2 linked regions of the Astyanax mexicanus genome follow. The protein of the gene in region 1 binds, or shares a complex with, the protein of each later gene. Links are inferred from orthologs where the notes say so. Each region holds a gene or a part of one and is shown in the gene's direction. Other genes may lie near its edges.

Region 1 (7,599 bases):
ACGCTTTGATGTCATCAGTAAGATAAAAGCTATATTTTTTATCTGAAACTATAATACCTGCCTATTTGTAGGTGTTATGTAGGTGAAAATGATAGGTTATGGTAAGTTATATGTATACAATGTTATATTGTAAACCTACAGAAATTCTGCCAAAAACAATAAACATATGTGGAAAAAATTTCGAATGAGAAGTGATACTACTGAGAAACACAGCCACCTATAGTGGAGTTTAGTAGCCTGATGTGCCTCTGCTGATTAGTAGAGATGGCACAGTCAGTTTGAGTTCAGTTTAACACTTTCTTTATTATATATAATATATATATATATATATATATATATATATATATATATAATACAGTGCCTCAAATGTTCTCTACTGAACAGTTGAGCAGAAGTTAAAGAGTTAGAGCGATTTTCAAAATGGAGTAATAGAGATTGTATATACAAGCTGCTAAAGTAAATCTCAGAAGATAGTATAATTCTTACACTTTTCTAAAACTGAAAAAGGCACTTACAATTCTTTTATTAAATAGCTAAATTAAACATTTGTTATTATTTTGGTTTCATATATAGAAAAATGAAATAATAAAGTTTGGGTGGAGTAATATGCCCTGCCTCTTACTTAACACCCTATAAATACCATCTACATAGCTTACCTAGCTTTGGCACCTCTACAAATAAAAAATTAAATAAAAAACTAAATTGTAATGGAGAATCACTCATGTATTTAAAGAATATTGAGTTGTTGTTCTTTTGTGCGACTTCTACATAAGGAGCAGGTTCTGTTGGTGTCTGATTAAACACTAGAAAAAATAAAGCTATATTGCTTTATTATAAACACAGCACTATACACCATATTAACTTATTGTTCACTTTTTCTAAGTGTAGCCATTTAGCCAGCAGAGTACAGCTGGGCTCTCCAGTTACTATGAACCTCTTGCAGCTCCCTCCCATAGCAAATAAAGGTCTGTAAATATAAAACATTATCTCCTTGTTTGTTTTTTTTCCTTTGTTTGTTATTTTAATAATTTTAGTAGTTGCTTATGTATTACGTAAGTTACACTGTTGTTGCTATTTTACTTTTTATTGCTTTTATGATTTCCTTGCATTAGAATCCTACTCTTGCATTTAACTATTTTATGTATATTTGTCATTATCTTATTTTTTTATTTAATTAAGTGCTGGCATTTTCTTTATCAATGTTATTGGCTTGGCTACATTGTAAATGAGGGCCAAATAAAGGGTTTAAATAAAGGTGGGTTGAGACCTCACCACACTGTGACATGTTCATTTTCTAGAGGAGAGAGACCAGAAGCCAGTGTTTGAGAAGAAGCCCCTGGTCTGGGAGGAAGATATGGAGCTCCACTCAAAGTTTCTTGACAGAAAGGTGTCAAATCATCATATTGATCTCATTTTGTTTTTCTTTGTTTCTACACCAATTATCCATTTTTTTAGCTTCACTCATTATATAGGACACATTGTAGTTCTATAATTACAGAGTGTATCCCTTCTGTTACTCTGCATATTTTATTATCCTCCTATTATCTTCCTCCAACACATTGCAGCTGTGATTTGTGTGGTGGGTCATTCTTGCACCATCCTGTGGACGGTGTCACTGCAGTGCTTAGAAAGACCCACCACCCAAATAACAGCTGCTTTCTGGTGGTCTTGTGGGGTCCTGACCATTAAAGAACAGGGTGAAAGGAGGATAATATATTATGCAGACAAACAGATACAGGACAACAGTCTGTAATTATAGAACTATAAAGTTTCCTATATGATCAGTGGAGCTGATGGAAGGACAGTGAGCGTAGAAACAAGGATGCGGTTGTAATATTCTGACTCTGGACTGTGTATATTCTACATAATACAATGTATTGAGATGTTATACACCAAGTAACACATTCTGCATATTTCTCGTCTTGCTCCACATATTCTCCATATTGCAGGAAGAGCTGAAAGCAGGCCACTCCTCTTATGTTAGAGATCATCCTGAGCTGAAGACGCTGCTGGCGGATTTTATGCAGTTCCTGCTGTTAAGGAAACCTCAGGATGTTTTCTCCTTTGCTCAAGACTTCTTTGCTCCCTTTGACTTTCAGCGCCCACCAGACAGCAGCTTCAAGACTTCTTGAACCATAAAGTTTTTTAAAGTAGCTTTACTGGAAGAAAAAAAAACTCATAACCTGTCAGGCCTTTATCCTGTGTGATGAGTAATTTTAATAAAGAGTTTCCATTTTGTGCTAGGTTTAACATTTTTTTGATGTGTTTTATTTTTTATATCCTATGGGATATATAACCAAAAAAATAACATTTATTTATTATAATTATTTATTATATTTTGTGTTTGTTAGAATCAAATGTTAATGTTTACATTTTTTAGGAACCTAAAGGCTAGAGCTAAGCAATATAGTAAAAAATGGTATCACGATAATTAAACATGTTTCAAAATACACACTGTTTATCACCATGTTTTGACATGCAGACAAAATGCTTCAACTGCAGATTATTATTTTATTTATTTTTTTTTTTTATATTATTTATTAAAAATAAAAAAAAACTCAGGCATAGCACCTTAATATACATTCAGTTTCTCACCATCCAATTAAACAAGACTAATTATACTCAGTCATAAAAAAATACAGTTGGGTCAGTGTTTAAGCTCTGAAGATATGCGTGATGTTGGTTTAAAAAATGTATCTCTGTATGATTAACATTTTTTCATAATGCCCTTCTCTACTAAAAGCATGTAATGTGGTGTGTGAAATCGGGACTTTTAATTTGAATTAAGTCCTCTAACCATTCTAATGGCTTAACCCAAACTGATTTTGTTAAAAGATTTTTCCCTATTAAATTCATGTAATCCATGTAAATTCAGATTGATAAGACAAAATAATAATAATAATAATAATAATAATAATAATAATAATAATAATAATAATAATTTGTTGAAATTAATGAAAACTTAGCTTCTCTATACTGCACCAAACGGAAAATAATAATTTAATTTTTACAGTTAATTTTCTATTTTCACGTTTAGCCTCAGAAACTGTAACTGCTTAATGTTACAATGATCCACGTGTGATCGAAACAGGTCCAACTCTGACCACAAACAGCGTCATTAATTTCTTTAGTTTAGTTAAATTACAGCAAACTAAGTTACACAAGTAACTCAGAAGCGAGTGCGTCACTGCGGGGTTTCCACTCCCTGTTCGGTTGTTTTAACTCTTTATTAGCCTCGGGATCTTATCGAAACTGAAAGTTGTGTCGGTCGGTGTGGAGTAATGTAGCCAGGTCTGATCTTCTCCGAGTAAACTAACAGATAGAAACGCTGTTTCTGGGGTTTTAACTGTGAGTGAACGTTGGCATCGCCACGAACTTCCGGATAAGGACCAGAGTGACCAGTGTCTAAATGTGAAGGTAAGAAATAATATAGAATTTCGCTTAGCGTTATTACAAACTTTCTGTAACTAGCAGCCAGGCCGGGTGTTCTGTCGAATTTGGCTACATTGCCCAAATGTGCTACTCTGCTGTATTGACAGACAACGCTGCCTAAATAAAGCAGTGGGTGGAATATTTTGGATGGACTGAAAGTATCATATCAGAAAATGCTCCCAGCTGAGGTATAAGATAAATATTTACTATTTATTTAACTATATAGTTATTTAATAACTATTTCAGGGTAATAAATACGAGAGGACTGATATTTTTTTTAAGTTTGAATCGCAATTTACACTTTTGTAACATTCTGCATTAGTAAATGTAAGCTAAAATTGTGAAAAAGTCCGAGGAAATCATAGACTGTGTATAGCGAGGAAATGGATCAGAAAGAATGGTAATGTAAAAAAAACGTTTTGGGTCTGCACATGCGCAGAACAGCTAAATAGCTCTTATCGTGGGGTAACGCAACTCGACAGAACACCGGAAGTGTAAACATAAGGCTAACTAACGCTAGCTAGATAGATGGTATACAACTCGAGGCAGGATTAAATTCCAACAGCGCTGTAGTTTATCTAATGTGTCGCTGATCCGGGCGGGTTAACACCGATTCTGTGCTCGATATTTCAGTGTCTGTAGAGCTGAAGTCTTTGGTCTGTGTTTAGCTTGGCGCTAATGTTAAAGTTACCGTAGCTGCGTCTGCTGTTTTTACCTTTTTCACAGTAGGTAAATTCAGCTCAGCTGGTAATTCAGGGAAAACATTCTGTAACAGGTGGATGGTTCATCCAAAAAAAAATAAATAAATAAAATAATAATGTTCCCCTAATCCCTAAGAGCCTGACCATGATCATTTTTCATATATATTCATATATATCATTATAATATTGGTATGCATGCATGTATGTATGTGTTTGTATGTATGAACTTTTAAACAAAACTAAAGAAATGTATTTTGTATTGTTGCGTTACATAGGTACATACCCATAAGTAAATGAAACATATGTAAAATTAATTTAAAAACTTCAGTGATAGTGCACTAGGGAAGGGTGGGAGGGGTTGCAAACCCTGGTGTCTTCGTGGTTGAAAAAGTATTGATAAAAGAGACAGTATGTTCTATTGGTGACTTTTCTTGTGATCAGTCTTTTACCGTCCACAGTCAAAATAGGCACAGCAAGTTTCCAGATCAGGTCCGTTTCTTGCCCAGTATGGAACTCAATACACTTCACATTATAGATGAGGAGCTGACAAAGAGTGAAGTGGCTGCCTTAAAGTTTCTGTGCTCAGATGTTATTTCTCGCAAGCGTCTGGAGAACGTGAAGGATGCCAAGGACCTGTTCCTGCGTCTGAGAGAACAGGCCCTGCTGGATGATCCTCGCTTCCTTGCTGAGTTGCTTTATACCATCCGTCGCAATGACCTGCTGACATTTCTGGGCACCAATAAAAGAGAGGTCAACAGGTGGCTTGCGATTTCTCCGTACAGGTAAAGGTTATCAGGTATTTGTTAGGGTCTGGAGCTATAATGCAATCGTATTAGTTATATAAATAAATCTGTACTTTAGTCAGTTTATTTTTTGTTTTGTTTTGAAAATTCAGATGTTATGTTTGAGCTCCCTGCTGTTGTATTATGATTAATGATTGCCAACTGACTGGATATTAAGGATAGTTTCTGAGATTTCTTCTTCTCATAGAAATCATGTATTCACATTACCAACACATGCTTCCTGTAGGAAGATGCTGTATAAACTGTCTGAAGATGTAACGGCTGAAAATCTGCGTGCCATAAAGTTCCTTTTGGATGGGTTGCCCAAAGCAAAGCTGCAGGACGCTGTGAGTATAGAGGTCTCCAGCAACATAAAACCCCTCATACAGCTCATTTGTTGTTTCTTTTGAAGTTTATTTTACTTATGTTGCAGTATCTCTTTGGGTGGGTGATATGCCTGCGTCTTAAAGGGAATGACTACTGGCACATTGATCACGTTACACACCCATGAACAATTAAAAGATTTAGAACACGCCTCTTGCGCTGTTGGAGCTACGCAAGGCCTACACAATACCAAAGACAACGGACACGCCCCTAAATCCAGCGGCGCAAAGTGCACTTAACTAGTTCACTATAGGTCGCTAAAATAGGGCCCTAAATGTAAATGAACAGTTTTAAACATTCAGTAGAAACAAAAATATCTGTAAACATTTACAGTGAGTCCAAGAAGTATTTGATCCCTTGCTGATTTTCTTCGTTGGCCCACTAATAAAGACATGATCATTCTATACTTTTAATGGTAGATGTATTCTTACATGGAGAGACAGAATATTAAAAAGAAAATCCAGAAAATAAATCTAAGGAATATATATTAATTGATTTGTATTTCATGGAGTGAAATAAGTATTTGATCCCTTAGTATTCATTAGCAGTTCTGGCTTTTACAGACCAGTTAGACACTCCCAATCAACTTGTTACCTGACCTGAAGCCACCTGTTCTCACTAATCACTTGTGTGAAAAACACCTGTCCACAGAATCAGACAGATCACACAGATTTCAAGTCTCCAACATGGGTAAAACCAAAGAGCTGTCACAGGACCTCAGAGTCAGAATTGTTGACCTTCACAAAGCTGGAATGGGCTACAAAAAGATTAATAAGGTGTTGGATGTGAAAGTAACAACTATTGGTGCAATTATCAGAAAGTTTAAAGAGTATAACATGACAATCAACAGACCTCGGCCCGGTGCTCCAAAGAAGATTTCGCCTCGTGGGGTGGCAATGATGCTGAGAACGGTCAGAAATCGTCCTGCAACCACTCGGCAGGAGTTAGCAAATGACCTGAAGGCAGCTGGGACCACAGTTTGCAAGGAAACAATTGGCAACACTTTGCGTAACAATGGATTCACATCCTGCAGTGCCTGAAAGGTACCCCTGCTGAAGAGAGCACATGTGGAGGCACGCCTCAAGTATGCCAATGATCATTTGAAAGATGAACCAAGTTATTGGGAGAAGGTTTTGTGGTCAGACGAGACCAAAATTGAACTTTTTGGCCTCAACTCCACCCGCCATGTGTGGAGGAAGAAAAATGCCGCCTATGACCCCAAGAACACTGTGCCCACCGTCAAGCATGGAGGTGGAAGCATAATGTTTTGGGTGTGTTTCTCTGCCAAGGGTACAGGGCTACTTCACCGCATCACTGGGAAGATGGATGGAGCCATGTACCGCACAATCCTGAGGGACAACCTCCTCCCCTCTGCCAGGGATCTGAAAATGGGCCGTGGTTGGGTCTTCCAACATGATAACGACCCTAAACATACAGCAAAGGATTGGCTCAAGAAAAATCACATTAAGGTCATGGAGTGGCCCAGCCAGTCGCCAGACCTCAATCCGATCGAAAATCTATGGAGGGAGCTGAAGGTCAGAGTTGCCAAGCGACAGCCCACCAACCTTCATGATTTAGAGAGGATCTGCAAAGAAGAGTGGGCCAAAATTCCCCCTGGTGTGTGTGCTAAACTTGTGGTTAACTACAACAAACGTCTCACCGCTGTGCTTGCAAACAAAGGCTTTGCCACTAAGTATTGAGTGTGTTTGGCAAGAGGGATCAAATACTTATTTTCCTCATTGAAATACAAATTAATTAAAATATATTCTTTAAAATTATATTCTGGATTTTTGTCTTGATATTCTGTCTCTCCATGTTAGAATATATCTACCATTAAAAGTGCAGAAGGATAGTGTCTTTTTATTAGTGGGCAAACAAAGAAAATCAGCAAGGGATCAAATACTTCTTGGACTCACTGTATCTGTTTCGACAGAAACTTATATAAAGATTAACACAATTATATAAAAATACCCTTATAGCTTTAAAGTAAATATCAAAAGTAATGCAAACAAAGGCTGCTTTTAAAACAGAATACTGCTATTAACACAGTTATAAAACAGTTCAGCTGCTACACAGAGCAATGCTGGGAGTTTTATATCCCTCTAGCCCATGCCTTGCATTAGGCATGGTGCCAATAGGTTCATGTTTATCTACTCTAGTCTACTCTAGTCTAACTATTTTATTTTATTATTTTATTGACAACACTTGCCTACAGGCACTAGACGAGCTGTGCGTGTGTGGATGCATTCACATTAGAAGAGGAGTTCACAAATATTTAGCCATATATAAAGTTAGTTTCT
Region 2 (7,513 bases), on another chromosome or scaffold:
ACTACAATTTGGGAGTTTTTTCTTTGGATTTTTTTTTTCAGACCATTCAACAAGCTGATTATCTAAAACACCACTGCTTTATCATGATGACTCAATGTGACCTACATAACGTTGCTCAAAGGCAACAAATGAAAAAAACCTTGTTGTAGTAAGCTTACAACAAGAAAGCAGGAATATAGTAAGAAAATAAATACACTTTTTTACATGTTTGCCCACTTATATGCCTTATTGTACTGGGGATAGATATTGTAGTCTTGTAACATTGTATTAAAAGTAAAATAAATACATAATGAACAAGATCAGCAGACTTAGCAGACTTAAATTTAGGATTTTATTTTTTTAAAGTTGTAAATATAACAATATATACCTCTGGAATATAATCAAGAGGAAGATGGATGATCACAAGCCATCAAACCAAGCTGAACTGATTGAATTTTTGCTGCAGGAGTGGCATAAAGTTATCCAAAAGCAGTGTGTAAGACTGGTGGAGGAGTGCCATGAAAGATGTATGAAAACTGTGATTAAAAACCAAAGTTATTCCACCAAATATTGACATTCCTTACTTAACCTACCAGTACACGCTCTGCTGGGTTATCAAGTCTGAGAAATCTGTTAAATTTCTACACATGGAAGAACATTTTAGGATCATCCTGCATAATCATAACAAGCAAAACCCCACCTTTGCTGCCTCCACGTCTCTCTTTCTTCCTTTAAGCTGCAGCCAAATCTGTCCATCCTGAGCTGTGTATGAATTCTCCTCCCCACCGATTCTCAACACCACCCCGAACACTCGCTCCACTGTGGGTTTCAGGTCCTGCAGAGCTCCCCGTAACACCCCAGGGCAGGTGAACTCATCCTCCACGTGCTGCTGCTCTCCTTCCATCCTATCCAGCCTTCCAGAGACAGCAGACAGAGCCATGACCAAGCGCTACAGCAGGAGACGATGTTCTGGATTTACTGGAGTGTGTAAAAAAAAGAAAAGAGAGACAAAATCAGAGAAAAAGAGAACATCACTCTTTTCAAACTGTTTTATAATAACTAAATACAAACACAGTTGGAGGGCCTGAGATTACAAATGGACAACATGCCAATTGATAGTTTAGTTGAGTTTATGAAGTCATACAAATCCATATCAACACTAATATAAATAGCCAATATGCTACACAACAACATGCTAGCCAACAAACTTGGTTTTGTCGGTCATGCTGGTCAACCAGCTTGGTCCTATAGGTCATACTAGCTAACAATCCTGGTCTTGTTGTTCATACTGGTCAACAAATTGTCTTGTTGGTCATAGTGGTCAACCAGCTTGGTTCTACTGGTTATGGTAGCCAACAAGCTTGGTCTTGCGGGTCATAATGGTCAACAAACTTGGTCATGCTGGTCATGCTAGTCAACAAGCTTGGTCATGTTGTTCATAATAGTCACTAAGCTTGGTTTTGTTGGTCATAATGATAATGATAATGATGTTATAATGATCAACCAGATTGGTCTGGCTGGCCATGTTGGTCAACAAACTTGGTTTTGTTGTTCTTAATGGTCAACACATTTTGATTGTTGGTCATAATGGTCAGCTGACTGGGCAAGCTATCCAACAAGCTTGGTCTTGTTTATCAAACAGCTTGGTCTGACTGGTCAAGCTAGCCAACAAGCTTGGTCTTGTTCATAATGGTCAATCAGCTTGGTCTTATTGGTCATGTTAGCTAGCAAGATTGGTCCTACTGGTTATGGCTGCCAACAAGCTTTGGTCTTTCTGATCATGATGGTCTACAGACTTGGTCCTGTTCCAACAAACTTGGTCTTGTAGGTCATAATGGTCAACAAACATGGATCACGTTGATTATAATGGTCAACAAACAGGGACAAACCAGCTTAATCATGCTAGTCAACAAGCTTGTCTTGTTGGACATAGTGGTCAACTAGCTTGGTCATGTTGGACATAGCGGTCAACCAGCTTGGTTTTGTTGGTCATAATGGTTAACCAGCTTGGTGAAGCTTCGTTGTACCAGTTGTCTAGCTTGGCCAGGTTCCTACACACCCTCCACTGGTCAAAGCTAAACTGATCTTCCAGTTTGAGCTGGCTATAGCTACTATAGAAGATAACATGTAGATATGAAGATATGATGTAATATATCAGGATAACGTTTAAATAACGTCATTTTGCCCACTTTTTTGACCAGTGGACACAGACACAACACATCCAGCCATAAAAATAATGAATTAAAGGATATTAGATGATTATCTCACCATGATCATGTGTTTAGACGGTATAGATCACCTGCTGGCTGTAGGTTTCGGTTACAGCTCTGCTGCTGGTGCTTCAGTCTTCCGCACTTTTACCCAGAACAGCAGATCTATCGCTCCAGATCAAATTTCAGCTCGGTCCAGTCCAGCAGAACCGGATCTCAGGAGAAGAACCGGCTCTGTTCTGTGTGATCCGGCGGTTCTGAAGCTTAATCCACTATTGTAAATGTATAAAAGTCCGTGTTCAGGCTGTAGGGGGTTATTATTGTTGACAAAATGAAACTTGGGGAACTCACAGTGGGCGGAGCCACAGGGCGGGGCGTCTGTACCGTAATGACCGTATATACGCGCCCCGCAATAACAGCGCTAAACCCAAAGCCTCCATTTCTAATTATAGACAATACTATGATAAATATCCTCCACCTGATACAGCGCACAGAACCATCCGGGCTAAAGAAACAAATTTACACCAAAATAACCGTCAAAATAAGAGTAAAACAGGGGTTTTGATGTAAACTACAAAAGGAGGTATTTGGATCTGCGCATGCGCCCAACAAACTGCCAGGGAAATTCCTCTGACGCACAACATTTCCTTCATGGTGGAGCAGAAAAGGCAAACTCTGACGATGTGGAAATTACTTATATTTATATATAGCAAAACCATACCAGGGTCAATATATAATATTTAATATACAGCTCTGGAAAAAATTAAGATCATTTCAGTTTGGATTCATATTGTGGGGAGACGGAATATATATATATATATATATATATATATATATATATATATATATATATATATATATATATATATATATATATATATATATATATAAAATTGGAAAAACTAATAAAAATCTAAATAAATTTTTTACTATACCAAAAAGGACAATATTAAATCATGTTTGATTTAGGCCTTAAATAGTCAGAAGATTAAAGTAATAAACATACACCGACCAAATATCAATATAACCATTAATTGTTATATGTAAATTTGCTCTGAATTAACAGATTAACACATATACACATATAGAGGAATAAATTTAACCTTCACTTTCTTCTTTTTATACAGTTTTCTGTTACGGGGAAGTGGTGTCTTTGCCATGGTTACAGTGCTGTCTGGGTAAGTTAAATAAATTAAATGAAAACCTCTTTTTAAAATACATTTTCTTAAAGTTTAGAAGATATATATTTAAAAAATAATAATAATTCTAATAATTCTATGGAAGCCCATTTTTTAGCTCTTGTACGATATGTTTCTTTTGATTGTTTTTCTTTGTTACAGACCCGTTTTGTGTGTGTGTGTGTGTTTTTTTTACTACTCTCTTGCCTTGCCCTCGTAGTTTTTTTGTCTGCTGTGGACATCTCCAGATATTCCATCAATCAACATGTGATTGACACTGGTATCAAACCTTCTCCTATTGGAAAAAAATTACTTTTGAAATTCACAATAAGCCCTATCCAAACGGAATTAGTTTCTCATGGGGTCCTGGGGTAATTTTGTCAATTTTTTTATTCCCATCCAGAACGACCAAGATTCAAGATTCAAGATTTTTATTGGCACGTCACAGAGTACAGGTGTACATGTGAGTGAAAAACTTGGGTGCAGATTCCCACCAGAGAACAATATTTACAAGAATAATCATAGAATAAAATATAATATAAAATAAGATATACCAATACCTTTACAGTATAAACCATGTGTGTGTTTTTCTCAGACGTCCTCTGAGAAAATTACAGGCTGAATTATCTACAGTTTTTCGCTGAACTCTGTGGTCCTCCAGTAATTTTAGTCCCGTCCGGATTTACATCTCTGAGTTTTGTCTCCTTGGGTTTAATAAAACAGCTATTTGTCCACTGCCACACACTGTATTTAAACTTTCGGCACACATTTCCACGGAAATCCACGTAAACCCAACAGCAAGTGAAAATAGAGGAGCTACTGAACGTGATGTTGTGTAACTGAGAAAGCCTAAAAACTCACTGGTCCTCCTGTATTTTTTTATTTTATTTTAGTCAGGCTGCAAGAGTTTTTTACTGAGTAGGAGTGTGAAATATTTTTCTCAGACATCTCCGTGAGAAACTAATCCCGTCCGGATAGGGCTTTAGACACTAAAATTATGGTATTTTGTATAATATTTTACCTCCAACATCTCTACTTCCTCTCAAACACATTGAACATATGATTAACCGAATCCAGCCCAGGGTTTAGTCACAGTAGGAACAAAGCTCTGGAGTGGATTATCAGGATTAACCTCCACCTCTGGAGTAAAAGACAGGGCTTCACGTCACATTTCCCCCGTCTGTTTAAGGAAGTGAAAGTAATAAAGACTTTACTGCTGCTGTTTTCTGTCTTTCTGTCGCCATTTCAGTACATATTACTCATTTTAACCACTTTTACACAGGCTTTCCTTCAGCATGGACGGGATTTAAACTGCCCAGAAAGAGAGAGAGAGAGAAAGAGAGAGAGAGAGAGAGAGGAAGAGAGAAGCACTCTCTCTGGGGAGTTAAACTTTTTCCACCCGGACTATGTTTAAGGTAAATTCAGTGCTACATTTTTAACCGTATTTACTCTAATAATGTACGGTTTTGTTAAATATCACTGATTTAATAATGTATCAAAAACCTTTATGCTTATAATGTGTCAGATAGCCTCATATAGATTATCTACACATGCTGAAACTCTGGATTTTTAACATTACTAGGTTTAAGGTTAGGTTTAGGACCAAAAGTAAAGGTCAAATTTAGCCTTATGTTAAATTAATCCATCTTGGTTTTAGAGGCGGGTATGTTGGGCAAACTATAGTACCAGACATGCACCAAAGTAGAAGGGTAGCATATATTCATTGTTTTCTATACACTAGTAAGTTAAGCATATCTATAGTAAACCAGAAAAAAATATTATGTTGTTTTTAGTACACTGGTATGTTGAGTATTCCTATACTAGACCAGAAATAAATGTATATGTTATGTTTTGTACTCTGGTATGTTGAGTATACCTATAAAAAATAGAAAAAAACACTGGTGTGTTGTGTATGTAAAAAAATAAAAAGCTGTGAGCTTTTAGTATGTGAATTAAATGTTTTTTTACTGAGAATTATGCCATTTCTCACTGCAAGAGACTCCAAAATATCAAGATAATTCTTTCCATTCATTCCAAGATTAAAAAATAAATAACCAATTCACTCTCCGTTTTCTTACCAAAGATTATTCTTGGATTAAATGAGCTTTGATGTAATTTACAGATTCTTAATATACATTAATTCACAGAAAAGCAAGCTTTATTATTCTCTGGCTCCAATTTAATTATCATTCCTACGCTTCAATAAGATGAAGCCACGGATTAGGATCTCAATCCCATGCCTTAATAAGTTGTGGCCATGCATTTTTAATTTTTTTTACATGATGTCACCCTAGGGCCCCGTATATACCAATACCAAATCAGAATGTTGTGTTTTATACACTGAATTTTGAGTATATTAATACCAAACCAGAAAAAACAGGATATTTTGTGTTTTGTTGTGATATATGGGACATAATTGATATTGTGATATATTGTACAGTTTTGATTAGATATATCGCAATAACAATATTTTGTCACATCCCCTAGTTTATAATTCTAAAATTCTGTTTGCTTTAAAATGAAACAGATTCCCCTGAGAAATGGAACTTGCTAGCTGCTCACTACCTGCTGTGATTCACAATGACAGTTTGGACTTCTGGCAGCTGATTGGTTGTGGTGGATTCGGAAAGATCTTCAGAGCAAAGCATCTGAAACTACGATTGGACGTTGCCGTAAAGTTATTACGGTGTGATGACGGGTAAATCTCTTGTAGTCTCATGTAAATGTCTAAATATTAATTTTACTACCATTGCTGACATATATGTGTAAATGCACACTAGGGTTGCAGCTATCGATTACTTTTGTAATCGAGTACTCTACTGAAAAATATATCCAATTAATCGAGTAATCGGATAAAACATATTTGCTTGCCTAAAGAGCAATTAAAAATACAAGACATTTCACTTAATAATGAATGACCAATTGGTTTTATTTTTAAATTCACAAAATAAGAGTTTCTCATGAGTTTGCTTTTTTCCCTTGCCGCTTCTCAACTAAAACCTCCTCCTCCTTCTTCCTGTGTGTGGGTGACGTAACTCTTAAGTGTGTTGTGCCGCATTAAAAGTAGTTAGCACAAAATACCATGCCCTGAGTTTTTACATTAAATAAACGATTCCTTGAGTCACAGAAATATACTTGATCAATTTTTTTAAAGTAATTGTTTAAGTGTTTCACCCCTAATGCACACACATGGCTTAACTAGAGCCTGTAGAAGAGATGTAATGTCAATAGAATAGGACTCTGTATCTGAAGCAGATAATTAAATATGAACCTATTGTCTCTAGTGTGGGCTAAAGTGATATATATCTCTCAGTATTGAGCTTGTGTCCCAATGCATTTGTCCATAATATACTGTAGATACTGACTCTGCCTAATGAAAGATATGCCGTATGATCTCTATCCTGGTCTTCAGCTCCAACTCTACTCTCCTCCGGGAGGCAAACCTGATGCACCATGGTGGGAACCCCTACGTCCTGAGAATTCTGGGTGTGTATGAAGGGCAACCTGAGGGTGAAGAAGCCTCTCAGTTCGGTCTAGTGATGGAGTACATGGAGAGGGGCTCGCTGGTGGACCTCCAGAGGGCTCTAAACGGACCTCCTCCGTGGTCTCTCGCCTTCCGCATCGCCCACCAGATCGCTCTGGGCATGAACTTCCTTCACCAGCTGGATCCACCTCTTCTGCACCTGGACCTGAAGCCCAGCAACGTGCTGCTGGACGACAGCCTCAACGCCAAGGTAATGTTGAATTATCCTGGTTAGAACTGTACCTGCTGGCACCTCTAGCCTGGATAGCAGATTAGATACATGAGGTTAGACATGGAGGTGTACAGGATTAGTATGGCATCCAGCAGCACATTTACCCACCCTGCCTTAGCCATAACTGCATCTGTCTCTAAAGTTTGGTAGAGGGGGGATTATAGTGTGGGGTTGTTTATTAAAAGTTGTGCTCGTCCCCTTAGTTCCAATTAAAGAAACTTTTAATGCTTCAACATACCAAACGATTTCAGACAATTTTATTCTCCCAACTTTGTTGGAACAGTTTGAGGACGTTTTAACATGACTACGCACCAGTGCACAAAGCAAGGACCATTAAGGCATGGATGAGCGAGTTTGCTGTGGAAGAACTTAAAAAATTCATAAATTCCCA

What was found. Proteins that work in one complex are often made in the same cells at the same time.
Region 2: casp8 (region 1) and ripk3 share a complex: the UniProt entries of both Homo sapiens proteins name them as parts of the AIM2 PANoptosome complex. The link is inferred for Astyanax mexicanus from reciprocal best matches to the Homo sapiens genes CASP8 and RIPK3.

The regions. Positions count from the first base shown.
Region 1 is NC_064412.1:41,337,063-41,344,661, forward strand, and holds the start of casp8 (caspase-8), read left to right. Parts: upstream 1-4,581; 5' UTR 4,582-4,640; coding exon 4,641-4,915; intron 4,916-5,162; coding exon 5,163-5,262; intron 5,263-7,599. Other genes in the region: ciliogenesis-associated TTC17-interacting protein, read left to right, coding at 889-965, 1,299-1,387, 1,950-2,132. UniProt on the Homo sapiens protein: Thiol protease that plays a key role in programmed cell death by acting as a molecular switch for apoptosis, necroptosis and pyroptosis, and is required to prevent tissue damage during embryonic development and adulthood.
Region 2 is NC_064432.1:21,542,430-21,549,942, forward strand, and holds the start of ripk3 (receptor-interacting serine/threonine-protein kinase 3), read left to right. Parts: upstream 1-4,504; 5' UTR 4,505-4,565; intron 4,566-4,575; exon of another isoform or gene 4,576-4,649; 5' UTR 4,650-4,782; intron 4,783-5,894; 5' UTR 5,895-5,907; coding exon 5,908-6,065; intron 6,066-6,779; coding exon 6,780-7,101; intron 7,102-7,513. Other genes in the region: protein KHNYN, read right to left, coding at 680-919. UniProt on the Homo sapiens protein: Serine/threonine-protein kinase that activates necroptosis and apoptosis, two parallel forms of cell death. Necroptosis, a programmed cell death process in response to death-inducing TNF-alpha family members, is triggered by RIPK3 following activation by ZBP1.